4 linked regions of the Diceros bicornis minor genome follow. The protein of the gene in region 1 purifies or fractionates together with the protein of each later gene. This does not show direct contact. Links are inferred from orthologs where the notes say so. Each region holds a gene or a part of one and is shown in the gene's direction. Other genes may lie near its edges. The genes, in order: MYH9, SPTAN1, ENKUR and USP11.

Region 1 (8,129 bases):
TCCCTTGGGCCCCCTCCCATTCACTAACTCTCTTCAAAGGGAACCTACATTCTGGCGTTTGTCAATTGCCTGTTTTAGAACTCCACATAAATGGAATCATACAGTATCTACTTTTTTTTATATCTAAACTCTTTCATTCAATAGTATGTCTGTGAGAGCCATTCATTAAAAACAAAAAATAACAGCTTAATTGAAATATAAGTCACAGGCAATACAGTTTATCCTTTTAAAGTATACAACTAAGTGGTTTTTTAGTATATTCACAGAGTTGTGCAACCATCCCCACTAGCTAATTTCAGAACATTTTCATTGCCTCAAAAAAAGACCCCTCATACCCATTAGCAGTAACTTCCCATTCTTTCCTCTCCCCAGCCTCTGGCAACCATTGATCTATTTTCTCTCTATAGATTTGCCTATTCTGGACATTTCATATACATGAAATTGTACAATACATGGTCTTTTGTGACTGGCTCCTTTTACTTAGCATAATGTCTTTAAGGGTCATCCATGTTGTAGCCTGTATTATGTAGCATGTATGTTATAGCATTTCTTTTTATTGCTGAATAATATGCCATTGTAGGAATATGCCACATTTTGTTTATCCATTCATCAGTTCATGGACGTTGGAGTCATTGTGTTTTCTACATGTAGCATTTGTTTGTTCTTGTTTTATTTCTGTATAGTAGTCCATTGTATGAACACACTCAATTTATCTATTTCACCACTGCTAAACTTTTCTCCTCCTACTTTGGCTATGTTAAGCTGCTATGATCATTTTTGTACATGTCTTTGTTGGGTTTAAGCACTCATTTCTGTTGCGGATATACTTAAGAATGGAATTGCTGGATCATAGGGTATACATGTATATTCAACTGTAGTAGATACAGGCAAACACTTTCCCAAAGTGGTTGTAGAAACTTATACTCCCACAAGCAATTTATGAGAATTGCAGTAGCTCCCAATCCCTGCCAACACTTGGTATCTTAATTTCAGTCATTCTGTTGGGGATAGTGCTATCTCATTGTGGTTTTAATTTGCATTCTGTGATAACTAATGATGTTTAGTACCTTGTCATTTGCTTACTGGCTAATTAGATATCCTCTTTTATGTAGTGCCCATTCAAATCTTTGCCCATTAAAAAAAAATTGGGTTGTCAGTTTTTTTCTTTTCTTTTTTTTTTTGTGAGGAAGATCAGCCCTGAGCTAACATCCATGCAAATCCTCCTCTTTTTGCTGAGGAAGACTGGCCCTGAGCTAACATCTATTGCCAATCCTCCTCCTTTTTTTTTCTCCCGGAAGCCCCAGTAGATAGTTGTATGTCGTAGTCGTACATCCTTCTAGTTGCTGTATGTGGGACGCCGCCTCAGCACGGCCGGACAAGCGGTGCGTCGGTGCGTGCCAGTGGTCCGAACCTGGGCCACCAGTAGCAGAGCGTGCCAAGCCACGGGGCCGGCCCTTTCAGTTTTTTTCTTAACATAGATATTCTTGATAAATTCTGGTTATACCTCCTTTGTTTATATATATATATATATATATAGTAAATATATTGTAAATATTTTTTCCCAGTCTGTGGTTTGATTTTTCACTCTCTTAAATGTATCTTTTGATGAACAGAAATTCTTAATTTTAATGAAGTTCAATTTAGCAATCTTTTCCTGTGGTTTATACTTTTTGTGTCTTGTTTAAGAAATTTTGCCTACTTCAAGGTCATGAAGATACTCTCCTATGCTTTCTTCTGGAAGTTTGATTGTTTACTTTTCACATTTAGGTCTCTGATCCATCCTAAACTATTTCTGGCAATGGTGTGAGTGTAGGAGTCAAGATTCACGTTTCCACATGTGGATATGCAATTGACCCAGCACCATTTATTAAAACGACCATCTTTTCCCACTTATTTGTAGTGGCACCTTTGTAATAAATCAGGTGACCATATATATGTAGCTCTCTCAATTTCATTTTAACTGTGTGTGTATGTATAAAGATTTGAAGAAAATAACAAGGTTTGTTAATAGTTGATATATTGAGGTGGTTAGGTTATGGGTGATTTTTATTTTCTTTCTTTTTAGCATTTTCCATACCAACCATGACACCATGTTAAGACCCAGAAAAAACGGATGAAATTTTTTCTAAACTATTACAAGAGTAGACACTATCAAGGGTGCAGGTCTTGGAAGATAGAGGAGGCGTTAGGCTGGACAGCAAGTGGGAACACTTCCTTAGTTAGGGAAGCATCTAGGCTGGTGGATGGGGAGGAGAGAATTCAGCGCCAGCTGACAGAGGCCTTCCATCTTCTTAGTGACCTCAGTTTCCTAGAGAGGGTGGTGCTAGGAATCTGGGGGTGTGAGGAAAATGGAAATGATCATTATCAATAACGCTCTGTTGTAAGTGCACACTGCTTTGTAGTTTACAAAACACTTTCAGGTCCACGTCTCCTGTGTTCTTCCCAACAGTCATGCGGGTTGGGCAAGGCCCAGCGATTATACCCATTTTACAGATAAGGAAACAGATGCTGTCTGAGTCCTGCTCAAGCATTCACTCAGGATCATTTTATGCCAAGCCTTGTGTTAGTTCTCAGTCCACAGAGGCAAAGAAGACACAGCCTCTGTCTGCCCTTAGGCAGCTTCTAGCCTCGGCAGAGGAAACAGCAAGTAAATGGACAATTATAATCCAGTGTGTAAGTGCTATGCGAGAGATAAACGCAAGATGATGTGGGAACACAGAGGAGGGACACCTAACTGGCCTGGAGTGTCATGGAAGATTTTTGGAAGCGGTGACATCGAAGTGAGTCTTTTTCTTCCATTTTGGAAAAATTATGCAAGTGATATATGTGTTAGAAACAGATAAGCAAAAGAAAAAATCAGTCACAATCCTTCTACCAAGACATAACCTCTATTTACACTTTGATATAATGTCTTTTAAACCTCATTGCCTCTCTCTCTCTGAAACACACACGTACACACACATACACACACACGTCAGGCACCCACACACGTACAAACATTGCATAAAAATAAATGAAATCCTGCAGTATTAGCATTCTATAATTTGCTCTTCCTCAGTATATTTTAAATCAGTAAATACAAATCTACATAAAAATTTTAATCACTTTCTGGGTATTTTTCAACACATGGATCTATCAAAATTTATTCAATCAATCTCTTATATTGTACATTTATTTCTAATATTAAATGACTATAAACAATGTTGCAAAGAACTTTTTAACCCATATCTGTACACTTTTCCAATTATTATTATTTTTTTTGTGTGAGGAAGATCAGCCCTGAGCTAACATCCATGCCAATCCTCCTGTTTTTTTGCTGAGGAAGACCGGCCCTGGGCTAATATCTGTGCCCATCTTCCTCTACTTTATATGGGACGCTGCCACAGCATGGCCTGACAAGCGATGCATCCGTGCGCACCGGGATCTGAACCTGGGCAGCCAGCAGTGGAGCGCGCACTTAACCGCGCACAGGGCCGGCCCCTCCAGTTATTTTTTTATGATGAATTCTTAGGGAGAATTGATCAATTTACTTTCCCATCTGTGTGGGCATTTTTATTCTTTTTTTAATTTGATAGGTGAAGAACGGTATCCCATGTTGTTTTGTTTGCATTTCAGATCAATCTTTTCATAATTATTGGGGATTTATATTTCTTCGTTTTTAATTGCCTGTTCCTTTTTTCGTCATTTTTATTTTGGAGTATTTGGGGTTTTTCTCATGGACCGAAAAGAGCCCTTTATATACTGTTGATAGTAATTCTTTGTCACAGAGTTGCAAAATCTTTTTTCCAGTGTTCTTTTGATCATAAACTTTTTCTGAAGTTCCTTTGGAAGAATAGTTTAGTCATGATAGGAAGAACATTCCAAAAGGAAAGAGTAATGAGAAATTTGCCCTCTTGGATATAAAATGTATTATAAAGCTATCATCATGAAAGTATTGTGGAACTGGCACAGGAACACACAGAGATCAATGGATACAGCTCAGAAACAGATCCAAGCATATATAAGAGCTCAAAAGGTGAGGAAGGTGGTACCTGAAGTCAGCAGAGAAAATGGTGTGTGTACACCTGGCTATTACAAAAATTACATTAGATTTCTTCCTCACTCCAAAATCAACATAAATTCCAGATGGATTAAAAGATAAGTGTGAAAAATTTTTTAAAAATTTCTATCTTTTCGTAGCGGGCAGTAACCAAAAAACCCCAAACAAACCCAATTAAACATTTTGTAACAAAATCTGAAAGGAAGGGTGCAAGTTAACCACGTGGAGGTGAAGAGAGGTTTGGAAGGGCGCTCCAGGCAGAGGGAACCCCTCCGAGCAAAGGTCTGGATCCTATAAGACAGCAGCGTGCCCACTCTAAAGAGATGGTCAGAAACCGAACTCAGGGCGCCCGCAACGGATCCGGGCTGAGTTCATATCCGCCCCCGCAGGCCATCATAATTATGTAAAATAGCACTTTTCCCATATATGGTACTTAATATCTGTTCTTCTGGTAGGATGTCTTGGGACAGGGAAAACAGCTTGCGGGGCGGGGCGTCAACCCGGGACCTCCCCCGTCTCCTCCGGCCCGGCCTCGCACCGGTGCAGGCAACGCCCCAAAATCCCGGGCCGGAGGCCTCTGCGAGCCTCCTCATCCTGATTGGACTCCCTCTATGTCAATCCCCCTCCTGAAACCTGGCTGTTCGTTGGGCCCGCCCTAGGGGGCGGGCCTCCCGCCTAGGAAGCGGGGGGGAAGGTGGAGAGGGTGGAGGTGGGGCGGATGGGGAGGGCAAGTCCCCACCCCTCTGGCCCAGAGGCTCCGCCTACCCCATCCCACAGGTCAAGATGTCTGTCCATCAAGACCAGGAGCGGGCCGGAGTGGGTGAAACAGCCAGAGGGGCGGGGTCTTTCCTCCAGGCTCCTCCCCGGAGCCGGCGCCGGGCTGGGAATGGGCGGGCGGCTTCGAGGGCGGGGCGGGAAGGCGGCGAGGAGGGGAGCTGGGTGCGGTGAGGCGCGCAGATCACCGCGGTTCCTGGGCAGGGCACGAAAGGCTGAGCCAGGCTGACCTGCTGCAGCTCCCGCCTCGCGCGCTCGCCCCACCCCGCCGTCGCCCGAGCGCTCGAGAAAGCCCTCTCGGGAGAAGCAGCGCCTGTTCCCCGGGGCAGATCCAGGTTCAGGTGAGCGAGCCCCACTGGCCGGTCCCGCCCGGGGCGGGCGGGCGGGCGGGGCGGCGGCGACGGGACGCGCGGCGTCTGGGGCGCGAAGGCCAGCGTGTGGTTCTCGGCCTCGGCGCGGCGGGCGACCGGCGTGGGCGGGAGCGAACGCCGCGGGGTCGGCCCGGCACTGCATCCTTCCCTTGGGGGCACCGGGACCCCCGCGCGGACGCTCGGGGAAGGCGCCGCTGGAAGCAGGCCCTCGGGGAGCAGAGGGAGGCTTCGGGGCCGGGCGCCCCCGGAAACCCTCCATCTCCCCTCGCCCGGCGCACTCCGCGGCGGGGCACCCGGAGCCTCGACCTCCCCCTGCTGCCGGGCGCGCGCCCCGCCCTCGCCTCGCCCAGTGCCCAAGTTGGGCAAACTTTTTAACCCCTTCCGGGGAGCCTCTGTCCCTTGGACCCGGCCGCACGGGTGAGGGTAAGGTGGGGGGCTCGGGGCAGCGGCTCCTTTGGAAGTTTCCAGGCATTTTCGAAACGGAGGTAACGGGCAGGCGGGGACCGTTTGGCAGTTGTCAGGGCGTCCTCCTGACTCAGAAGCGGACAATCCTGCAGCAGACATTGCGCTCGGCTCAGTTTCCGCCCTGCGCTCCCGACTTCCTCATTCGCCCGGCTGCGAGCAGTGGGGCGGAGGAGGGGACGCGGAGAGGTGCGGTGGGTGCATGGGGCAGGGGGACCCGGCGGGTACCGGGCCGCGAGGCAGGAAAGACCCCCCCCAGCCCCTCAACCTTTGTCTTTGGACTTCTGTTCCCCGGGAGAGCGAGGCCCGGGAATGCCCGCAGACGTCTGCGTGGTCCGGACGCGCACCTGATCCCGCCGCACCTGCGGGCCGCCCACCGGGCGGGGGCGGGGGCAGCTGGGCTCTGCTCCTTTAGGGCCAGGCCGGGGCTATGCGTCGTTCCTGTCTGGGCTAGATCCCGGGTTTTCTATGCCCCCCTCCCCTACTTCCTGTGTAGGGGTCCTCACCCCATGCTGTCCTGGGGCCACGCCCAGGGCAGGACCGCACACCCCTCCCATCCCTTCAGAGCCGCGTTGTTTCAAACAGAAACGGAGTACCCTCCAGGACGAGGTTGCCTGCTGTGTTGAGGTGGGGGCTGGGTGACTGCCGGGGCTGCTGTCGCGGCCGCACCCAGCCGGTGTGGGGAGAAGGTTCCTGGGAAGTCCCAGGTCCTGGAGACAGGCGGCTCTCTCCTCTGGGCAATCGAGAGGCTCAGCGGCTTCGTGGTTCACTGCACCCTTTGCTGAGTTTAACAAGATTTCAAAGTAACCGTTGAGTAGCTGTTGAAGGGGAAGAGAGCTTTAGCTCCTTCCTGCAACACTGTGGCCATTTCTGACTCCACTGTCTGAGCCTGGCCTGATAACCTCCCTGAGTGGTTTATTCCCTTTTTGGTAAGGAGGGAGGCTGCTTTAAGGCCTGTTGAGACAATCGCTCGATTAATATTAGTCAATTTATATACAAGGCTGCTGGGGGTGGGGGGAGGGTACGCAGATGTGTAATCGAGCAAATATTTAACTGGCTTCTGTGTGGCAGGGACTCTACCAGGTGGTGGGGGTGGGGGTGTAAGGTTGAGTAAGACCTGGCCCCTGCCCTCTGGCACCTAGGGCAGAGCTGAGACAAATCTGTAGATGACTCTAATGTGAGGCAAAGATGACAGAGACCCCAGAAAGGTACTGTGAGTCATGGGGATTGGGAGAAGGGAGCCAGCCTATCTTTCGGAGATCCCCCAGGCCTTCTCCTGGAGGGGAGTTTACAGTCCTCAAGGGGAAATAGTGGCCGAATGACTGAAATACAAAGACAGCCTGTGATGAGTGTCCCAAGCATGCCACAGACAAAGGACTCGAGGAATTCCGAGGGGCCATTTCTGTCTGGGGCTAGGAGGGAAGCTGCCTCGAGGAAGGAGCACGTTGCAGCTTTGGTAAACTGAGGCAAGCATTTGGTGTTGGAAAGTGAGGACTCATTTAGTGGTTAACTGAGTGGTAATTAAAAGCGTCAAGAGATTGCTCGTTGTAATTTGAGAGCCGCCGGAGTGACACCAGAAAGCTCTACCATTCACATCCAGCAAGTCCTGGCAGTGCCTGTGGGCAGATCTAGGTGCCCGGATTGGCAGGCTCTGTTTGGGGAATGGCAGCCCGAGAGGTGTATTCTGTGGGGCTGCCGGTCTGAAGGGCACATAAGAGTAGACGAAAGAGAGGGTCAGGGCCCTGACTTCTGTTTTTTATTTATTTTTTTTAATTTTATTTATTTATTTTTTTTTGTGAGGAGATCAGCCCTGAGCTAACATCCGCCAATCCTCCTCTTTTTTTTTTTTGCTGAGGAAGACGGCCCTGGGCTAACATCGGTGCCTATCTTCCTCCACTTTATATGGGACGCCGCCACAGCATGGCTTACCAAGCAGTGCGTCGGTGCGCGCCCGGGATCCGAACCAGCGAACCCCGGGCCGCCGCAGCGGAGCGCGCGCACTTAACCGCTTGCGCCACTCGGCCGGCCCCTGTTTTTTATTTTTAAGCTTTTAACCTAAGGGGTTGGAGATGAGACAACTTCCCTCTTGCAGGATGAAGGATGCATGTTAATCACAGCCTGGCTTTTGCCTCTTGCTCCAGAAAAAACAAAACAAGGATCTGTTAGCTTTTTAAAAGGAGAAAAGCACACTCAAAAAATGCAGCATTGTTATGTAGCCTGGTAGGGTATTGCTAGAAACCAGGCGGACTGTGTTTTCTTCACTTCCTCTTCTAGCTAATCCTTCAGTAAAGTACTTAAGACAGCCCTTACCAGCTTGACATCTTTATTTCAAAAGGAGAGGAGGGGTTGGCTGTTGTTTTCCATTGAGCCGGGCCCTACCCTTCTCTTGGAGGGGAAGAAAGAGAAAGCCAAAGCAAAGGGAAAAAAAAGAATCCATGCCTTGACAGCTTCCTCCCAAGCATCATGTTCCAAAAATATTTAGA
Region 2 (7,346 bases), on another chromosome or scaffold:
GCCAGGACAACCAAAAGAGCCACAGAGCTTCTTACAGGTGCCTTATCCAACCTGGTCATTCACTTCCCTTTTCTCTGTCCCACCTAATGAATTCCTGATGTTAGATTTCCTGGGACCTGCAGAAAGCAGGTGAGAGCTGGGGTCTTCCAGCTATGTGATGAATTTACAAAAACACCCATTATAAAGGAATTTATCCTCTAGTTTATCGCCGGGCTTCATTTTTTAAATACCAGTTCATACAGATGACATTCAAGAAATATTTTTCTTGGGGCCAGCCCAGTGGCATAGTGGTTAAGTTCACACGCCACGCTTCGGTGGCCTCGGGTTTGCAGGTTTGGATCCCAGGCATGGACCTACACACCGCTCATCAAGCCATGCTGTGGCAGCCTTCCACGTACAAAATAGAAGAAGATTGGCATAGATGTTAGCTCAGGGACAATCTTACTCAAGCAGAAAAAAAAAGCATGAAGTTGGAAAAATAACCTGTTTAGGAGGTGGCTAAGCTCAGGTCTGGAGAAAAGCAAGAGGAAATGATCCTGTGGAAAGGTAAGCTGGAACAAGCTTGAGGAGGCTCCTGAATCTCTATTGAAATAGTCTGCACGATTCTGTAGGCAATGGGAAGCTACTAGATTTCTGAGAGAGTTTGACATGGTTTGTGAAACATTCTAACTGTGTCTTCAAGATGAACAGGAGGTGTAGAGACTGACGGGGCCTAACAAGTCAGCCCACAAGATTACAGATATGACATAAGTGAGCTGAGTTAGGAAGATGTCCCAGGGGAGAGAGGAGCTCACCTCTCTGCTGTCACCTGCAGTCCTTTTAAGAAGGCCAGCCTGGGGGGCCAGCCCAGTGGCGTAGCTCCACTTCAGCAGCCCTGGGTTCGCAGGTACGGATCCCAGGTGCAGACCTACACACCACGCATCAAGCCATGCTGTGGTGGCATCCCATATACAAAATAGTGGAAGATGGGCACAGATGTTAGCTCAGGGCCAATCTCCCTCACCAAAAAAAAAAAAAAGACCAGCCTGTCAAGGCCATGCTCCCAGCAGTTGTCAGGCCTCTTCTCTAATGTGGTCTCTGATTTCAGAAGCAGTCACGGTGTCTCATTTTTTTTTTAATTGTGGCAAAATGTACACAACATAAAATTTACTATATTAGCCATTTTTAAGTGTACAGTTCTGTGGTATTAAGTATACTCATGTTGTTGTATAACCATCACTATCATCCACCTCCAGAACTTTATCATCTCACAAAACTGAAATTCTGTCCCCATTAAACACTAACTCCCTCTACCCCTCCCCCAGCCCCTGGTGACCCATGTTCTACTCTCTGTCTCTATGAATCTGACGATTCTAGGGACCTCATGGAAGCAGAATCATACAATATTTGTCCTTTTGTGTCTGGTTTATTAAGGTTCCTCCAGTCACTGTTTTGAAGGTCTGTGCTGTTCCTTGCCAGCTCTCACACTGCAGAATGTCGTCTGGGAAGCAGTGCAGTCCACTTCTGGCCTGACTTCCCAATCAGCTCCCTTGTTTCGAGGAAAAATAGAGGAATGCTTAGCGCTTGCTTGTTAACTGTGCTTGTTAACTGTGCGTGCGTGCGTGCGTGTGTGTAGAGACTCACCCAGAGAGAGTGGGCAAGTAACTTTCCATGGCCGGAACACGTGAAAATATCATTACAATTGATGTATTCCCCAACGGTTGACCTCTTGAACAAGTTGAAAATGTACTGAGACCACTTAGATGCCTAAGCTTACGGCATATACCAAACCTTCAGAGAACGCTGGAAACTAGGAAAAGGAGCTACCTGCGCTTTTCACGAGGCCAGGAACGAAGTGACTGAGAACCTGGAGTTGATTGGTTACAGAGCTGCTATACTGTCCTCTGCTTTTTTCTTTTTTTTTCTGAATGAGTTTCTCTCAGACAACAAAGAGGCCATTATCTGCTTTGTCATCTCCCTCTCCCCACACCTAGCAGAGTGTTAGGCTATGGTGAAATTGGTGGGAGGTGAGGTAGGCAGACAATAGAACATGTGAAAAATGGCTTTTTAAATGCCTCCAGTGCCAAATGCAGACTGGGGTGCATGAGTGAGGGGGAGGCAGAAGGGCTGGAGACACTGCTTTTTGGCCATGTCTCAGATCAGACAAAGGATCAACAAATATGATTTCAGTGTCTGTCTCAATATAGAAGCTCTCTCTAAGGTCAAATCTGTTTTGCATCTGGTAAAAGCAGCAAAACCCCCATTTCCTAATGAGGCCAGAGTGATCTAAAAGAAAAATCCTCCTTTTTTATAGCTCCTGGCCACAGGCTTGAGACCCATTCTTTGCCGGAACAGAAGGTCTTGGAAATTTTGGAGAGCTGTGATTGTGTTAGCCATTTTGTACCCAGAGCTGAATATCTGATTAAACATTTTGCTGCTCCCCGCTGGAGAAGAGGCTGTCGCTGCCATCAGCTGTTCCCAGAAATGCACACCCCAGGGAAGAGTTACCGGTCCTGTTTTCTCTACAGAGGAGATTGCAGGAAATGCCTCTCAGCTCCTACGTTTTTCCTCCAGATTCTGTAAAGCTGCTTCTGGTGTGTGGCCACTCCTTTTTTCTCTCTGCTCTGATGGAGTGAAGGAATGGGAGAATTTTTCCTCACTATCATGGCTACAGCCAAGACTGCTTAGAAACCAGATTGCAGATCCCAGGCACAGAGGAAGAAGCCAGACTGGAGAGGACCAGGAAGCTCAGGGCTCGGCCTGGGTGCAAGCTCTGGTGCAGTGCCCAGTGCCTTTATATTGATTTAAAGAGGGCTGCCTGGTAACTGGGAGGCTGAGGCCTTCCTGAGCTGCAGAGCTCCTGGTCTGCCTGACTGCACAGGAATGATCTGGGTGTTACTCCCAATGGCTGCCACCCAGCTGTCACCGGAGTAGGGGTGGGGAAAGGGCTTCCTAACCAAGGGCTTCTAGTTATAGAGTTTAGAGCCAGGCCCTTGAGCTTCTAAGACTGTAAGGAACAGAAATTCCAGAAATCCTCTTATTTTTCTTTTCTCTGCACCCTGGCATCCACCATCACAATGCCTCTCTTTCCTATGGGAAGGCAGTCCAACAAACTGTTTCAGAGTAGGTCCTTGACTGCTTGGATTCAAATCCTAGCTTCTCCTCTTGTTAGCTGCCTGACCCAGGGCAAGAGACCTAGCTTCCATATCAGGGTGCTGCTCATTTGTGAAATGGGGAAATAACACCTACCTCATAAAATTATTGCAAAGATTAAAAAGAAAAAGGTAATACACATGAAGTGCTTAGCATAGTGCTGGTACATAAGGAAAGTTCAGTAAACTGTGGCAGGAGGAAGCTTAATATCTTGTTTATAAAATACGACTGATGCATCCTATTCCCAGAGTGACCTGTGAGAAAGCTTTTGCTGTAAGAATATAAGAAATTATTAACTCTCAAAATTCTGGAATGACAAACTCCAAATTAGTAGGCTTTATTTTTTATAATCGGATTTGGCCTTTTCTTACCACCTTCTCAATCCCGGAGACAAAAATCATCCTGGGTGTCTTGACCTCAGCCACCACCCGAGTAGGCTGACTTGGGTCTGCAGCCCCAGCCTTTTCCTAGGGAAAGGGGCCAGGAGGAAGAGAAGCACACGGGTGACCTCACCCTTTGGGACTGGGCGTTTTTCCGGCCGGGGTGTGCAGCATCTCCAGCCAGACTGCAGTGATGGCCCCTGCCCCGCCCTTCGCTGCAGTCCTGGAAAGGCTCCCAGGGGCGGAGGGGTGGGGTGCAGAAGATTCTCTGCAGGGAGGGGAGGGGCAGGATTGGAGGATCCAAGCTGCGGGGAGGGCGGTGTGGCTGGAGCATCTCGGCCCGCCTGGGCGGAGGCAGCGACTCCTCTGCACCATCAACCCCCACCCTTGGCGCGCGCCCTCCTTCCCCATCCTCCCGCTGCGCTCCCCCGGCTCGGCTCTTCCCCTGCATCGCCGCTTCGGCTCCTTCCGGCAAGGTTCGGCCCCTTCCGCCCGGCGATCGGGAGCTGAGCCGACGGGAGCTCCGCCCCCTTTGCTTCTCCGGCGCTCGCCCCCGCCCCTCGCGCCGCGCCGAGGCGCTTCCCCCGCGCTCGCGCCCGCCCGCCGCCGGAACGCGCGTGGCCGCCTATAAAAGGGGCGGGGCGCGCGCGTCGCCGCCAGTATCCGCTGCGGAGCGAACGGCGAGGAGCGGAGGCCGCGGAGGCGCGTTGGTCTCTCAGCAGCACCCCACACCCTCCAGCCCGACGCACCCACGGCCCTCACCCTCCAGGAGCCGGTGAGAGCGGGAGCGGGGGAGCTCGGGGCGGGAGCGGGCCCCCAGGGCGGGCGGCCCCCGGGCGGGGAGCCGGGCGGCCCCCGGGGCGGGGCGGGGCCGGCGCGCGGACAGGTGAGCCGGGCGGGCGTCGCAGCACCCTCGGTCGGGCGGGAGCCGGGCGAGCCGGCCGCGACCGGCTTGTGGCGCGTGGGCTGCGGACGAGCCGCCTGGCGAGTCTGGGCGCCGGCCGCTGGAATGTCATTGACGGGGCGGAGGGGGAGCGAGGCCGCCGGCTCCCTCCCCGCCCCCTCCCCGAGTCCGGCCCCATCCGGCTGCGGCAGGTGGGGCGGGGGCTCCCTGGTCGGATCGTCACCTTCCCCCTCCCTGCAGAGCGCTCCCCCCACCGCCCCCAGTCCCTTCCCTCGTGGGGAGCGACTTCTGCAGCTCCTTTGCCCCAATCCCCCCAAGCAATGCCGGCCCAACCCTTGAAGGAGGAAGAACCGACCTCAGAGTAAAGGGCTCTTTGACCTTATTCTTATCCTGTATGGCGAGTCTTGGCCTTCTCTTTTAGACGCAGAACGGTCCGAGACTGGCCATCATCTCCTTTTCTTACCTTGTAATAAACATTTCTTTCTTACCCAGTTGTGATTCGCTTGTAAATTATAGGTAGATGCGGCGCTTGCTTTGTATGAGACCTAAATCAAATAACTTAATAGCTCCGAGGTTGTTTTTTTTTCCCCCCCGAGACTGGGTCTTTCGAGTCGAGGGCGGTATATTTGTCAAAAATTCTACAGCCATCCCGGTGTGGAATGATAGAAGCAGCCTTTTGTTTGAAAGCCATCCCTGCGAATTTGATTAGATGCTTCCCCAAGAAAATTGCCTTTAAAAGTCCCTTTGATGTACTGAAATAAAATATCTTAAATAAGGGGCTTGTTAAGGTTAAGGGTTGCATATATTTTAAATTAAAAGCCTGAATAGCACAGAAAGCGGTTTTGAGATGATATTTGGATTGCTGCAGCACCTTGTCAAATCTGTTTTATATAATAGATCCTAAAATATGTAGGCCCTTTGTTCTGTCTTCATCGTGGTATTTTAGAAAAACTTACCATCATGGCTGTTAGGGAAGAATAGAAGAGAGAACATATGAAGTATTTTCATAACGTGTGGAGAAATTGCGTCGTCATGGCAATTGGACTTGAGTAAATCAGAATGTATCAAAGATGGAAGGATGGGGGTGTCTTGCAGCCAGGAAACAGCAAACCTTCAGAATAGCAGTGGGAACACTTGGCTGTACGAAGCCGTTGAGCCAAGATTCCACCTCCTTAAACTAGTCATTTATTTTTCCCTTTGCTTGCAGCTAGTGTCTTAGATTTTGAAAGGTCAAATTGAAGTCAAAGTTTAAAAAATGTGCTGCAGGAAAAAAAAAGCGCTGCAGAATGGCCTCCGTGCAGGAAATTAACAATAAGCCTTTTTTAGTAACTGGGCCAATAATTACTCAAAGGGACCCTCAAAGTGTGTTAGTTGTTATCCAGGGACCTAGATGGAGAGAGGAGACTTGAAAGGAGGATTTGCTTTGTGCTGGACAGGTGTGAAGCCATTCCTAATGTAAACCATCAGCCTGATAACATTCTCTGATACGCTTTTGGTCTCAGCGGTGAGTTTTGTAGTAATCTAATAATTGGAGAAATCCGATCTGTCACAGGCTCTAATATGAGCTTGTCAAGCAATCTGATGAACAGGTGTAGGTGGAGAGAGCTGTTTTTTAAGTATATCTTTTGGTTCCCTGCATTAGAATTTTCTCTACTTTTCCTTACCTGCCTCCATCGCAAAGGGAGGGGCCGGCTGCACATCCTGAGAAGTGGAAATCAGGAATAGTCCACAGTCCTGGCATTGCTGAACCTGCATTAAGGACAGTGGGCACCAGGCCGGCCTTGTAATCAATCCTCCCTGGGCTATTCGAGGACTCCGCTGGTTCTGCAGGCGGGTCTGCTACAGCTGTGATCAGAGTAGGTAGAAAAATGCGACGCCCTGGTGGCAAATGCTGACTCGAGGCATGCAGAGGAGGGACGCAGAGCTGATCACTTGGGGGCCAGTGGACTGGAGCAGCTGCTGTGCTGGTTACCTCCCTTCCACCTTTTTTGCATATTCCTCTTGTACCGGTTTTGAACAGGAAATAGTATTTTGTAAAGGAAATGTACCAGTAAACTAGGCCCAAGTCAGATCTTTGTAGCTTGAGTTAATTCTTGTTTCTGATGATTTCATGAAATCATGCTATTTTATTACTGAATGGAAGGGGGGTTTAGGAATCATCTAGTCCCAGGAGTCTCAGTTTATCGGAATATGGGTCGAGGGAGGGCATGTTTATCATTAAAAAGTGTATTCAGTATTATTACTTTATTTGAAAAGTGGGGAAACTGAGACCCAAAAGAGGATATGACTTGGCCAAAGCCGCACATCTTTTAGATAGGAACTGCTAAGACCAGAGAATCTTGGTTCTCTTTCCACATTTTAAATCCCCAGTGGGGGGGCCGGCCCGGTGGCACAAGTGGTGAAGTGCCCGGGGTTCGCCAGTTCGGATCCTGGGCGTGCACAGACGCACCGCTTGTCAAGCCATGCTGTGGCGGCGTCCCATATAAAGTGGAGGAAGATGGGCACGGATGTTAGCCCAGGGCCAGTCTTCCTCACAAAAATAAAAAATAAAATAAATCCCTGGTGGGATTTAGAAGCTCCATAGAATAAGACAGGCGTCGGGAAAACATCTGAAATTTGATATTTACCTGTATTCGATGTGTTTAAAGGTCTGCTTTCTTCATTTTGAAATTATTCTGTTCAGTTTGGCCTCAGAAGCTTGTCGTCTTGCTCTCCCCCTGTCTTTAGCCTCCACATTCCTCCATCATGTTGTCATCGTTTCGTAAGCGCAGAGTCCAGGTATTTGACCGGCATGCAGGAAACGTGTTGGCTTTTCGGGTTTGCCTGGCTTGCAGTGAAGACACATTTGTGTCAAAGAGGTTGAATGATCCAAAGAGAGGGGGAAAAAACTCTGCCTGCATGATCTTTCTGCTAAGCAAATTGGTTAGGGT
Region 3 (7,084 bases), on another chromosome or scaffold:
ATCGGGAGACTCAAAGTTTTCAACACTGAGCACGTGGCCATGAATGACTGCAAAAGTGATGCAAGTATTAATTTTGGGTTATAAACAAATTATAGAGACCACAATTCACAAATACGGTACCTGTGAAAAGTGAGGACCAACTGCATATATGATTCAAAGCCATGTTATTGGATTTTTATTTATTTATATTTTAATATGTTTTTCAGTATGATGGTCATGAATAGGCAATTTTTCTTCACCCAAAGGACAAAATTATTTCAAATTAAACAGAAGTCAATCACATAAGAGTCAGAAAACAAAAATAGTACTTAAAGACCAAATCTCTTGGCCATAAAGTACTCAGGTTTTATTGTATCATTAATTTTCTCAAATATTTTTTGTAGAGCCAGTTCTACACAAAAATACTTTAGTTACACTCTCTAACTCCTCAGGGGATGGAAGATCTACACAACTCCATTATACATTAATAATTTTTAAATATGTTTTCCTACTGATCACTTATAGCGGGGCTTTTGACCCACTAATTCCAATGGATATTTTTTAGACATAAAAGACACTTGTCATTCAAATAGATAAATGAAAAGGCAGTGTTGTGTCAGTATTACAGCAAGAACCTTAAAAAACAAAAACAGAATGCCCACATGTACGTATTAATTCAAGTACCATGATCTCAAAACACAAATTTTAACAATTTTACTGTGGCAAGCTGATCAAAATGGAATAAAGAATTCAAGGGAAAAAAAACACAGAAATCACTTTTTTAAATGACTTTTAAATTATTTCCTATGAATGATAATAAAGTTACATTTTTAAACCAGAAATACATACTAATTTTCAACAACCCATTTACAGTGATGTTTTCCTAAGTTTACCACTAGATGACTGATAACCAAAATCATACTCAGCCCATATCAATTTTTACTTACAAAATGGTCCAGAAGAATTTTTCACTTACACTATAAAACTACCCAGTTTCTAATTCTCCTGGGAAATTGCCAAAATCCTATTTAGTCAAAATGATTTAGCATTTGTCACCAATTTAAAATATCTGTCATTATATACTGTTCCAAAATAAAAAGTAAGACATAGCACTTCAAAAACTATTTCATGATGAGAATTGGCTATAGTTCAATGAACTTCTGAAATATTTATGACACGATTATGCTTGTCATCCTACATTAATGCAATCTCTATTTAAATTTCTCAGAAGAGAAATTTAACCTAGTCCATTATCTTATGAAGAAATTCTGAGGTTTTAAAAAATTCTTAAAAATTACTGCATTTTTACAGCAATAAATTGTTTTCCAATAAGTAATAAGAAAAAATGCAAATATACAAGGACATAAATTAACCAGGGGCAAGCAAACTCTGCTGCTTCTGACTATTGAGCAAAAATCCCCTCAGCAAGCCCTTTAGTCAATCAGCTCCTACTTCCCTGGAAATCGGAGGTGGCGAGGGTGGAAGGATCACACATATCAGTGCCATCTTGTAATCACAGGGATCTTATAATCAAAAGCGTAATTTTGCAAGTTCACCACTCATCTCTGCCTTTATCTTAGTATCAAAGCTGACTAAGCCTGTCCTGTTGTTCGTCTTTTGCTGTTAGATACCCTCTTAATGGTCTTGAGTATTTAAATCAAGACTTTTTAAAAATCTTTTTCAATGCTATAATTTAGAAAAATATTGTAAAGAATGTCTTTATAAACGGTTTATCTTCCTCCCGATTGTCTTATTTATATGCCCACTTATGCCTGTTTTATTCATCTCAGTAGATTAAAATAACCTTTAGCAAGAAAACCTAACTTGGATGTACAATCATTTATATCAGGGGTCTTTGCAAACTACAACCCACAGGCCCAGTCTGGCCCACCACCCTTTTTGTAAATTAAGTTTCACCGGAAGACAACTTTGCTCATTCATTCGTTCATTTGTTTAGTGTTGTCTTCAGCTGCTTTTGAGCTACAATGGTAGAGCTGAGTAGTTTGGACAGAAACCATCTGGCCTGCAAAGGCCTAAAATATTTGTTATCCAGCACTTTACAGAAAAAGTTCATGACCTCTGATGGTGTACCAATACCAATTCCCTGCGGACATACTGGACACAGGCATTTCCTTGAACAGTACTGCCATTTTGAGGGAATTATAAAAATTAGAAATATATTCTTTGTAGACATGCTTTCAAAAGGCAAGCAGAATTACAAACCAAGTATCTAAGAAAAAGAAAGTTCCTTTCAAAATGATTTAACAACTTCATCTTGACTGTAAACTAAATATACTATAGTGAGGAGATCTTGAAGTCTGTTTAGTATTTTTAAAACCACAATAAATATACTGATATCAGTGAAATTACCATATTCAGTCACATCAAAAGGTCAAGACTAGCTAACGCCGGTTGGTGCTTACTCACTGGAAAAATCATGCTTTGCCCTTATTGGCTCTTTTAGGATCTGATTAACATAAATAGTCCCCAAGTGTTCCAAGTAGTATATACAGGAGCATCATCCTCAAAGTGTCACTGATCTGAATTAAATGCTTGTTAAAACGCCTGGGATAAAAATCAAAATCTGACCAACTGGATAAAAGAAAACTAAATTTATTCTTACTTAATGAAATTCACCAACAGCCAAAAATGATAAGGATCTACACCTTCAGCAAAGCCTTTTAAGTAGGAACTAGAAAGTTAACCAAGACACCCTCGTGTTTTAATCCCTCCCCTGAGCATCCTGGCAGCGAGACTACTAAAACCGCTGTTCTCTCTTGTCTGCGAGCATCTTCATTCCCTTTGGGCAGCGTGGCCTCTGTAAGGCTGGTTCACGACCATCTTTCTTCCTTCCCAAATAGTATTGCCAAAAAGTCTTTCAGAGACTTGGTATGGCAAAGGCTTCTAAATGAATTTCCTTAAGCAGTCATACGTGCATAAATAGGTTTATGGAAGACCAAATGGTTCAAAACGGAATAAAACTGCTTCTCAGAAAGAAGACAATTTTCCAAAAGGGACACCTAAAAAATGGGCAAAAATTCAAGGGCCCATTTAAAAGGCTTCTCCTTCTGGTTTGGGGGGGTCGTTTAAAAATCGTTAAGTTCACAGGCGGTGAACAAATAGGAGGCGCCCGTCCAAGAGGTAAAGTGGGCGGAGAGCAGGGAAGAGGCGATGCGCGGGAGAAGGCGGGGGGGGCGGCCAAAGGTGGATGGGGGGGCTCACTCGCACAGGTGGCGGGCAGGGCCGCGGCGAGTTCTGAGCAGCCGGGGACAGAAGCAGCCGGAAAACGAGCGCAGAGAGCTGACATGACAAACCGAGTAGTGGAAAGGGGAAGCAACGAGGGGGGACAAGGCATGCGATGCTAACGGACTGGATTCTACAGTGTCCCTGTCTTTCTCCTCAAATAACTCACCAAGAAAACCACACTGAGAAGTCGGAGGAAAGGAAAGGAAACGGGAGGGAGCGTCCAGGAGCCGCCAGTGCCCAAACCCGAGGCCTCCCTGGGCCCTCCCGGCCCCTGCTCAGCCGCCTCTGCGCCTGCGGCCGCGCGCCACGCCCACGCCCCGAGCGGCCGCGCACCGGGCACGTAACTCTCGCCCCGCGCTCCACCCACCTGGCCTCCCAGCTCCTTGGGCTCCTCCCCTCCCTCGTCTCGCTTTCGACGTTGGCCGTGCGTTAGCGTGGCCTCAACCGCTCGTCCCGCCCCCACCGGGATTGGCGCCTGCGCACAAGAGCCCGATTGTGTGACGCCTGCATACCAGCTGCTCTTCTTGTCTCAGGTAGAGTTTCTCTCTCTCTCCAAGTATACAGAGCTAGGAAAGAGCAACGGTTTTAAGAGGACGCCATTCTTCACCCCATTACTCCCAAAGGCACATATAAACAGTGATTTCCATGTTGAACTTCTCAGGCAGAAGATGTTGCTGCAGAGAGAGGGAAGAGAGGAAACCGAGTTTGCGGTGCTGCGTTCCACTTCCCCGTCGCCTAGTAACTGTTTCCATGGCAACCGCGCTATTAACCACGCTAAGCAACCCCAAGGGGAATAGAAGGGGTATTTTATTTTCTTCCCAAGAGGGGCTGCGAAGAAGTCAAAGGGGATTTATGTGAAAACGAAACCTTAGTTCTTTGAGAAGGCAAGAGAGTAGGAAAGGAAAGGGGACGCAGTGAAGAAAGGGACGGAGATATTGGTATAGTGAGAAAAAAGTTGTGTGGGTTTAAGGAGTTATTTGGTGGCCATGGATCCAACGTGCTCTTCTGAGAGCATTTATAACCTCATACCCAGTGACTGGAAGGAGCCTCCCCAGCCTCCTAGGTATGTGGGTAAGCAAAGATGATCACTTGAAACAAGAATGGGAAATAATTATTTCATTTCAGGTTTAACTAAGCATCATATGACTTTAAGAAATGACATGTATTGTTGCTCAATGAAGTAGCCATGGATGACAACTTCTTAGACAAGAGGTTGCAAAATCTAAGTATTTAGCATCTCACAATTCACAGAGAGGGCAGTCCAGTGCTGTGAGAGGGCCAAGTTATCGTGTTAGCCTCTGTTAATACGGTTTGTAATTGTTTTGTAATTCATGTAGTTGTTTGTACATGATGTACTATATATACAACGTAGCGTGAAATTTCTTGTTGAAAAGAGAAAATCCCAACTTTATTATCCTATGTTAGGATACTTGCTATTTGGTTTCAGGAGTTCATTGTTTTATTTCTGACTATGCTATTGCTCCCTCTCTAAAGGGATAGTACTTACTTTTCCCAAGATTATTGTCAAACATAAATTCCTATTTGTTTCTGAGCCTCAGTTTTTTTGATGGGTGAAACAAAATAGACTGAGTAGTTTCTAAGGTCTTTTTAGGATCTAATATTGGGTAGAAGAAGAGTGGATGGATAAAGACCCAAAAATATGTAATTGAGTTATAATTTTTACCTAATTTTTAGGTATTAGAACCCCTTAAGTTCCCCAAATTTCAGAAATGTAACCACAAAGTAAACATCTCACTTACCCTCCTGTGTAGGGACTTAGAACTTATTTAAATCTATGGGGAGAAAAGAAGGTAGCTAGTGGGGAAAATCTCATTCCCTCTAGGACTTTTGCTATCTTTTACCTTTTCCTGATGCAAATCAAAACCACATTGAAAGAGCACTGGGCTAAAAAACAGGCTCTGCAACTAATAGGTTTTGGGATAGTGAATAAATTTTCAGTTGTTTTCTGATCTGTAAAACAATCTAAATGAACTAGATAATCTTTAAGGTCTCTTTCAGATATAATGGTCAATTATTTTTACTAGTAATTACTTGGGGTGCCTAAAATCATCAACAAGTGGGCAAATCCTTCCATGTTAAGCGTTAGTATCTGGTTTTAACCAGAGCAGTACCTGCATTTTTTTCCATTAGCTACTCAAAATCTAGTAGAGATTAGAAAGAAGAATGGAAAGTAAGATATATTACAGTTGCAGAGTTTATGAGGAGTGAATTTAATTTGAATTTAAATTAAAATTAATTAATTCAAATTAACTATTGCTGAATGGACTTTTGGTCAAAAATTTCTGTATATTGTACAAGATAAAGCTCCTCCTCTCTGTAATCTGCTGTTAGACTGTAATTTCTATAGAGTACTGAATTTGAATGTTAAGATACTTAATTAGATGGGTGTTCTGTTCATTGGTAAATTAAAAAGCTTTACTGCATCTGGGTGATCTTTTCAAGAAATCTTATAGGAACAATCTTTGTTCATTTGACAAGCATTAACTGAGCCCCTCTTATGTGTATAGCATCATCCTTGGGGAATGTTCTCAGGGAATGTTGGAGTGACAGCACAAACTCCTTGGTTTACTCTGAAGAAATAAGTTGGGAAAAGGAACTTATGGTGAAGGGAATAGAAGGTATCTAAGTGTGGTGCCAAAGAACTCTTTCTGTTAGGGGGAAGTCAACCCACACTGTCAGCAACAACCATGAGGAGTTTTTAATTTGACAAGATGTCATGTGTGCAAATTATTAATTTATAAAAACGGAGCATAATAAAACATTTAACCAATTCTTTCTCACCACACCACCACAAACTTGCCCTGACCCAATATCCTTACTAATAGTAAGAATTAATCATAAGAACGAAATGTATTAAGCTATGAGGCTTATTTGCATCAGCAAGTTATAAACCCAGCTTCAAGAAAGCTCTCTGCAGCTCTTTGCAAGATTAGCGAGATGACTATCCAGCTTTCACAAAGAGGTTAATTCCTTGGGAAAATCAACAATTGACTGCACTGTGATCTCCCATACCTCAGAGGTTACAGTTTCCCTGGGGAACTGAACTATAAACATTAAAATGTTGATTAACAATAAAATCATATATTATTGAAAACCCTCATGAGAGATGCAGATACTAAATGAAAACTTAGAAAATGGATATATGTAACCAAAGTGGGGTGAAGGGCACCCTCTTGCAGTTGAACTGTGAGCTGGGACTTAAGGTATAAAAGTGTTCGAGTCAATGGGAAGCCATGAATCAGTTTTCAAAATTTCAGTTGCTCATGATTCATGAGATGGTTTCCAAGATCTTCACCAAACTTGTCACCCTTCTCTTGATGGCTCCAGTTATGTAATATCTCCAATCATTTTCTCTTTCCCTTTGTTTAAGGTAATATTCCAGATGTGGTCTGAACAGCCCATGGAACCATTATTCTCCTTTCCTTGATACACAATACTTTTATTAATACATCCATTAGCATTTTGACAGTCATGTCCCACATCGTCTCACATTGAAATTCCCACATGCATTATGACTAAGATTGGTCTCTCCCGTCCTGTAACTGTATGGCTGATTCTTTTTGATCAAAATTCATTAATAGATGGAGAAAGTTTTGAATTTTGAATATTTCATACACTCTCTTAACCATCCCACCCAGCTTTGTGTCATTTGCAAATTGAATAAGTATGTCTTTTATATCTCCATCTATCGTTACACAGGGCAAATTCTTTGCAATTTAGTAGGCTACTAGACACCTCTTTCTAGACTGACAGCAATACTGTTTTTGAAGGTTCAGTCAGTCATCCAAATGCATCCATTAATCAGTTCATATTTCTCTATCTTATCAGTTGGGATTTA
Region 4 (7,498 bases), on another chromosome or scaffold:
CGGTGAGGCTGGTGGGTAGGTGGGTGTTAGGGGCCAGAGTGCCCAAACTCAATTTAAAGCAGGTCCCCTTGTTCTTGTGGTAGACTTGACAGCGATGGGGCTGATCTCCTCACCAAGTTGCTGCAGGTGAGACCATCTTCCTGGGCCAGCCTTGGGGGCTAAGGGATTCCAGGTGTAGGGAAACGGAGTTCCAGGGGCAGGGTCTGGAGTGGGGAGGAAGAGAGGCCTACTCATTGGAGGTGTCAGTATTCCACACATACACCCCCGCCCCCCACTCAGTTTGAAGGTCGCAATCGGATCTCCGCAGAGGACGCCATGAAACATCTATTCTTCCTCAGTCTGGGGGAGCGGATCCACAAACTTCCTGACAGTGAGTGGATCTGGGGAATGGAGCTGCCGGTGGGGGGCCTGTGGGAAACAGGACAGCTGCAGACAGCTTGGGCAGGTCGTGTAGGGCTCTGGCTACGCCACCTCTAAGAGGGTACACCCTTGTTCACACGTGTGATGTGTTTATTACAAAAAAAGTTATTTTCGTTTTTAGTTCCTGTCACCTTTCATAGAAATTTTCAAACATACATAAAAAAATAGATGCAACATCACTTTACCTGGTGTGCGTGTGTGTGTGTGTGTGTGTGTGTGTGTGTGTAAGATCGGTCCTGAGCTAACATCTGCCAATCCTCCTCTTTTTTGCTGAGGAAGACTGGCCCTGGGCTAACATCCATGCCCATCTTCCTCCACTTTATATGGGACACCGCCAACAGCATGGCTTGACAAGCGGTGCGTTGGTGCGTGCCCAGGATCCAAACTGGCAAATCCCAGGCCCCGCAGTGGAATGCGCACACTTAACCGCTTGCGCCACCGGGGCGGCCCCTACTTTACCTTTTTTTTTAAGTAAATGTTTCCTTGTAAAATATATACTGAGAAATGCACAGATCGTAAGTATACAGCACAATGAATTTTCACAAACTAGACACACCCATGTAATGGCATCCAGGTCAAAAACCAGGATGGGAGAAGCTCCCCCAGCGTGCCCCCATTTCCTTCACTTACTCCCGGTCCCCTTCCCAAGGGTCACTGCAAATTGGACTTATAACCACATAGATAAGGTTTCCCTGTCTTGTACTTTACAGAAATGGAATCACACGGGGTATTCTCTTTTTATTTTTTTATTTTTATTTTTTTATTTTTATTTTATTTTTTTTGGTGAGGGAGATCAGCCCTGAGATAACATCCGTGCTAATCCTCCTCTTTTTGCTGAGGAAGACCGGCTCTGAGCTAACATCTATTGCCAATCCTCCTCCTTTTTTTTTTTTTTCCCCCAAAGCCCCAGTAGATAGTTGTATGTCGTAGTTGCACATCCTTCTAGTTGCTGTATGTGGGACTCGGCCTCAGCATGGCCGGAGAAGCGGTGCGTTGGTGCGCGCCCGGGATCTGAACCCGGGCCGCCAGTAGTGGAGCGTGAGCACTTAACCGCTAAGCCACGGGGCCGGCCCTGGTATTCTCTTTTTATATCTGACTTGTAAAAACTTTTTAATATGGATATTTTAAAATTAGCTATATTTATATACTAGACCAAATAATAGGTTGAGTCCCCAAGTATTCCAATAGATCATCAACTTGTGGCCAATCTGGTTTTATCTGTATTCCTTCTGATTATTTTGACTCACATCCCAGACATATCGTTCATCTATAAATAATTTCAGCATGTATCTCCAAAATATTCTTTTAAACGTAATGATATTATCACAGCTAAAAAAATTGGCCCACTTCTCATGTCTCCCCACTGGATTAATCTAAATCAAATCCCAGATACCATCCATCACCTAGACTTAACAGGTGGTAATTGTAGTACCATCGTCACACTTGACAGAATTAATAATGATTTCTTGGTGTCATGTAATAGTCTATATTCCACTTCTAGTGTATTTGGTTTGTGTGTGGGATTATTTAACAGACGAAAGTCAGGTCTCTCAAAGAAAAGGCAAATTTTTCTAGTTTGCCCTGTGGGGCCATATGGGAGGTGGTCCTGCATGGCCCCATGGGTCATTCCCCACTTCTGTCTCTCCTCCACGCACAGCTACTTCCATATTTGCACTAAAGGAGATCCAGCTACAAAAGGAGGCCAGCCTTCGATCTTCATCAATGCCTGACTCAGGTAGATGTGGCCCTCGCCCTCTTCCCTGCCTCTTCCACCTACCTGCTTGCCTACCAACAGCCATCCGCTCTGCTTTCCCCCCGCAGGCAGGCCAGCTTTCCGTGTGGTGGACACCGAGTTCTAAGCTGAGTTCTAAGCCACAGATCAAGGCCCCAGCAGGCAGCGGCTGGAGGGATGCCACACCCCTCACAGGGCAGCCCCCCAACTGCATTCTCCCTGCTTGCTGCCTGCCTACCTGCCTGACTCATGCTCGCCTGCCCACGTGTCCCCTGCTGCCTGTCTGGACACCCGACCATTGGCCTGTCAACCCACCTATTGGCCTGTCTGCTGGGTGCTAACAAAGCTCTCATTGCTCCTTCGCCTGGTCTCTCTGTCTGTCTCTCTCTCTGTCTTGGTAGTTGCCAGCGGACAGCATGGCCATGCCAGCCTCCCACACTGAGGCCGGGCCTGTACCCCTCCCCATCAAACCCTCCCCCAGGACCACTACCCCGTGGCCAGCCAAGGGGCCGGAGCTAGCCCAGGCTGGGGATCTCGAGTCAGACAAGATGTGGTGATGCCTTGGGTCTGAGGCTTCCCCTGCCTGCTTTCCTGCCTGCCCCACCTGCCTCATGTTGTGTGGGCTTTTTTTTTTTGTTTCATTCATTGTTGTTTTTTAATTATTTTAAATGAGGTTTTCATTTTTTAAATGCAATATCTCTGTATACAGACTGGCTGGGCTCCACCCCCTGCGTGTGGCCCTCCCACAGTATTTTGTGCAATGAAGCCCCACTCCCAGCCTTTCTAAGGCAGGGACACAGCCCCTATTCGGAACCTTGACCATCACCAGACCCTGGGGTCAGCTAAGGGAAAGCATGCCTCGACCAGTCGCCTTCCTACCCCCGCCTGCCATCCCCAGCCACAGGGGGAACTGGGGACTACCGGAGACTCTCTGGGAGATGGGCGAGGTGGGGGGCCCCCACTCTTTCCCTCCTGCAGTCCCATAGCTGGGGCCTTCTTCCTTCTCAGGGTCTCCCTAGCCCAGCCCTCCTGCCCCCGTCCCACTTGGTGCTGTTGAGTAGGGGCCCTGCCAGGAACTGACCAACTCAATGAGGAGCCATAGTGTGTATATGTGCACAAGCAGGGGCAAAGGGGAGCATGGGGGGTTGTGCCCAGGCATTACCCTCTAACTCCTGGGGAGGGTGAGGCAGGGCAGGGACAGTCTCTGGGGTCAGTCCCAGATGGGTGGTTACCTCCCCTTCCTCCACTCTAAACCCTGGGGCCCTCAGATGGGGTGGGAGGGCAGCAGTGGGGGCCCTCCTAGTGGGGTTTGGGGGGTTGGGTTCCTGAATGCACCATAATTGCTGTATGAAATATTAAAGTCTAAAGTGAAAAACCTGATTGCAAATCCCTGCAGGGGTGGGGGTGGGCTTGACCCAGGGTTAGTACTGGGACCTTGGCGAATTCATACCTGGTCCCCAATGTCTAGGAGAGCACTGAGAGTGGGCCAGGGGCACATCACGACTGTGAAAAAGGCATCTGAGGGGTTGTACACGCAACAGTGGAACATTGAGTTGAAGCAGGTAGGGCAGGCCGAATAGAGGGGCTCAGAAGCAGAGAGAGGAGTTAGATTTACCCAAGAATATGAGGAAGCCAGATAGAGGGTAGAGATAGGTGAGTGTGGAGAGGTTGTTTGAAAGACACTTGGAAGGCCCAATAAAACCAGGAGGTGGGGAGATGAGGCAGAGAGATCCAGTATGACCACTATATGTCTGACCAGGACACCATGAGTTGGGCCAGTTGGAGAGGGAATATGAGAGGAGGGTAGATTTTGGATCACTGAGTAGGTAGGGGAATCCTTTAATACATGGGTCAAATTGAGGAGTTGGGCCATCGATGGAACTGGAAGTTTGGATCATTGGTGTCTAGGAAGTAATGGAAACCATGGGCATGGGTAAGGTGATGCTGGGAAGGATGCAATGGTTTGTGAGAATCCAGAGGTTAAATGGTGCAGCCTGGAACTTGGCCTCAGGTGTGAGGATAGCTGAGGCTTTGGGGGCTGGCATCACAGTAATAAAGACACAATCTTTGCCCCGTGGAGGTTAACTGAAAATAGAGGTAAATTATGAGATTGTGTGTATGGGTGTATGTGTGTGTGGAGGGTGTTAAATTGTGCAGGGAGAGGGTATTCTGGACACTCAAGGCCCAGGGACCTGTGTGCATGGGCCTAGAGGCATGGAAAGGCAAGGTGTGTTCTTGCCTGTGGGAATGGGTGGTGACAGTGAAGGAAGTCACTGAAACATCTGGAATCATGAACCTGTCTTGGGGAATTTGTGGGACGGTCAGGTGAGGACAGCGAATAGGCAGGTAGATGCAGGGAGCCAGAGAGGGAAATGACGTTATCACCAACAGGCAGGGCTGGGAGCCCTAGAAGAGAAAAGGATGGCATAGCCTAGTGCAGTGGTTCTCAACCGGAGAATCCCCACCACCACCACCACCACTAGGGGATGTTTGGCAATGTCTAGAGACACTTTTGGTTGTCCCAATTGGGAGGTGCTACTGGTGTCTTGTGGGTAGAGGCCAGGGATGCAGCTAAACATCCTACAATGCTTCCCACAACAGAAATATCAATGTTGTCTTGGTTGAGAAACCCTGGCCTAGTGCAATAGTTCTCAAACGGTCTCAGGATCCCTTTATATTCTTAAAAATTGAGGACATCCAAAGAGCTTTTGCTTATGTCATGTAGCCCCTGGAAAATTACACCGCACATGCAAGAAAGAATGGCAATGGAAAAGTATTGTGAAAATAGTTTTGACTTTGTAAACCCCCTTAGAGGGTCTCCTGAACCAGTAGAAAGCCTAGGACCACAGTTTGAGAATCCTTGGCCTGGTGTTTAAGATCACAGCTCTAGAACTGGAATTCCTGAGTTCGAACCACAGCTCAGCCATTTACTAGCTGGAGCAAAGTGAATTAATGTTTCTGGACCTCAGCTTGCCTCATTGTTGCCCATGGACCACAGTGATATTATCTGCTGCCTAAGGCTACTATTTACATGCAATAAAGCACTTAAGCAGGGCCGACTATTATTAGTTATTGCTGTAACTCCAACAAATACACAGGGCCTAGGGCTAACTTGCCTTCAACACGTTTGTCTAGAGAATAAATCTGGGCAGGCAGGGAAGCGGCCCGCAGGCCTGGGTGGCGCTTTAGAGGTGGTGACCTTTTTCGCATTGGGTTTTTATGGATCAGAAGGGTAGTGCAATGAAAGAAAGGCATTCTGGTCAGGCTAACAAAGACGCTGCTCGCAGGGTAGAGGCCCCCAGCAGAGCATGGGACCCGTAAGACCAGAACCTGTGTGTGTGTGTCCCTGAGCACTCCTGAATATGTCTTCGTCCACCTCGGGGACCTCTGCCTCCACCTTCCACATTACCGTCTGCCCTGGCTCAACATGGTGTCAGAATCCCACAGGGTACCTTTGTCTTTCTTAGTTCCCAACTGGAGGTTTTACCCCGCCTATTGGTCGCAGTGATCACCGCCCACAGCCCGACGCCTGCCTAGCCCTTCCACGCGTCCAAGCGTGGGGTCCATTTCCAAGATGGAAGTAGCCCCCCGGCGTTTGGGGGGCTCTGTTTCCGCTTCCGGGACCAGAATCCGGAAGTGGCAGTTGAGGGGCCTCTTCCTATCACCAGCTGCGGCGGTTGTGAGAAGAGGGTGAACGGCCATGGCGGCAGTCGCAGCGGATCCGGCGGCTGCGGATGCGGCCGAGGACCGAGAGCCACAGCGCGAAGCCATGCCGGGCCTGGAGAGCCAGCGGCGCCAGATCAAAAACAGCGAGAGTGGGCGAGAGCGTCCACTGCGGACCGGCGAAAGCTGGTGAGGCAGGGCGGCAAGCGGAGCCTCGGCTGAGCGGACGGTGGGGGCGTCGGCTACGGGGCGGCCGTGGTCCACAGGAGAATCGCCGTGGGGGCGGGGGCACTGGCCTGTGGGACGGAGGACGAGAGGGGCGGGGAAGTGCCTGTGAGTGGATCGCCTCCTCTGGGAAAGAGGCGGGGCCTGTGTGGTGGAGCCTGACGCCTGAGAACAAGATGTGGTTTGTTGTGGAAAGGCAGGGGGCAGGGCCTGAGAAGAACGGCCCTGGGGGTGGGGCCAGGCGTGTGTTGGAACTCGGAACCTGGGAAGGAGGCGGTCTCTGCAACAGAGCCCGGGGGCGGGGTCTGTGTGGCGAAACGGGGGCGGTGCCGGGTACCCCGCGGCGCCTGAGCGAGGCCGGGCGGGTGACGTCGGGCAGAAGAGCGGGATCTGAGCCTTACGGCTGTGGGCAGGAGGAGGGAGCTGGCGCCTGGGAACGAGGCTTGTGACGTGGTCCGAGGGGCGTGTCCTGAGCCGGAGGAGAGACTGCAGAGGGGAGGTGGTGTCTGTGAAGCAGAAAATGGCGCCTGCGAATGAGCAAAGTTTGTGACGCGGTGAGGTTTTTGCCTCTGGCCGAGGCCTTCTTCCCGGGACAGGAGAAAGTGCAGGTGATTGGCATGGGAGGGGCCTTCGATGTTACGTTTGTTTTCTGTTTTGGTACTGTTTTGTTTTTGTAATCAGGAAAAAATAGTAATTTAAAAAAAAAGTCCATGCCTATCTTGATAAATCGGCTTGTTCTACTGATTTCTTTGCTAACCAGTGCTTGAAATGAACTGTTTATGGGTTCATTTTATTTCTCGCTAAGTTGCATCCCGTTTTTTAAATTGTGAAATTCGTGAGACCTAAAAAGATGATAGAAAACGTTTACGTAGCGCAGATTGATGGACATTCCATAAAAATAAACGGCCTTTGCTCTTCAAAAATTTCAAGGTCGTGAAAGACAAAGGATGAAGAACTGTTCCAGACTGAAGGAATTAATGGGATTTAACGAGTCATGATAACTAAATGCAACGTGTGATCCTAGATTGGATCCCGGAGGAGAAAAAATAAATTATTTAAAAGTCAGGTTTTTTTCTCATAAAATTAATTTTCTCTCTTTTACTATAAAAGATATTAATGAGAAAATTGGTAAAATTTGACTAAGGTCTGTAGATTAGATATTAATACTGCTAATTTCTTGCTTTTGATAATTGTATTGTGGTTATGAAAGAATATCTTTATTTTTTTGGAAATACATGCTGAAATATTTAGGAGTAAAGAGCCATCGTGTAAGCAGCTTACTCTCAAATGCTTGAAAAAAAAGAGCATATATAAAAATGTATTGAGGGGGCGGGCCCAGTGGTGGCGTAGTGGTTAAGTTCGCGCGCTCTGCTTCGGCGGCCCGGGGTTCGCAGGTTCGGATCCCGGATGCGGACCTCCGTACCGCTCATCGAGCCATGCTGTGGTGGCATCCCATAT

The links.
Region 2: the proteins of MYH9 (region 1) and SPTAN1 fractionate together in Homo sapiens (co-fractionation; 3 studies listed by BioGRID and IntAct, with this or other methods). This does not show direct contact. The link is inferred for Diceros bicornis minor from reciprocal best matches to the Homo sapiens genes MYH9 and SPTAN1.
Region 3: the proteins of MYH9 (region 1) and ENKUR purify together in Homo sapiens (affinity purification with western blotting; 4 studies listed by BioGRID, with this or other methods). This does not show direct contact. The link is inferred for Diceros bicornis minor from reciprocal best matches to the Homo sapiens genes MYH9 and ENKUR.
Region 4: the proteins of MYH9 (region 1) and USP11 purify together in Homo sapiens (affinity purification with mass spectrometry; 3 studies listed by BioGRID, with this or other methods). This does not show direct contact. The link is inferred for Diceros bicornis minor from reciprocal best matches to the Homo sapiens genes MYH9 and USP11.

The regions. Positions count from the first base shown.
Region 1 is NC_080764.1:13,205,336-13,213,464, forward strand, and holds the start of MYH9 (myosin-9), read left to right. Parts: upstream 1-5,001; 5' UTR 5,002-5,154; intron 5,155-8,129. UniProt on the Homo sapiens protein: Cellular myosin that appears to play a role in cytokinesis, cell shape, and specialized functions such as secretion and capping. Required for cortical actin clearance prior to oocyte exocytosis. Promotes cell motility in conjunction with S100A4.
Region 2 is NC_080767.1:36,367,806-36,375,151, forward strand, and holds the start of SPTAN1 (spectrin alpha chain, non-erythrocytic 1), read left to right. Parts: upstream 1-4,178; 5' UTR 4,179-4,287; intron 4,288-7,346. UniProt on the Homo sapiens protein: Fodrin, which seems to be involved in secretion, interacts with calmodulin in a calcium-dependent manner and is thus candidate for the calcium-dependent movement of the cytoskeleton at the membrane.
Region 3 is NC_080775.1:24,233,600-24,240,683, reverse strand, and holds the start of ENKUR (enkurin), read left to right. Parts: upstream 1-3,983; 5' UTR 3,984-4,211; coding exon 4,212-4,288; intron 4,289-7,084. UniProt on the Homo sapiens protein: Adapter that functions to localize a calcium-sensitive signal transduction machinery in sperm to a calcium-permeable ion channel.
Region 4 is NC_080781.1:41,032,064-41,039,561, forward strand, and holds the start of USP11 (ubiquitin carboxyl-terminal hydrolase 11), read left to right. Parts: upstream 1-4,377; 5' UTR 4,378-5,852; coding exon 5,853-6,004; intron 6,005-7,498. Other genes in the region: CDK16 (cyclin-dependent kinase 16), read left to right, coding at 1-2, 84-126, 280-370, 2,078-2,155, 2,242-2,279.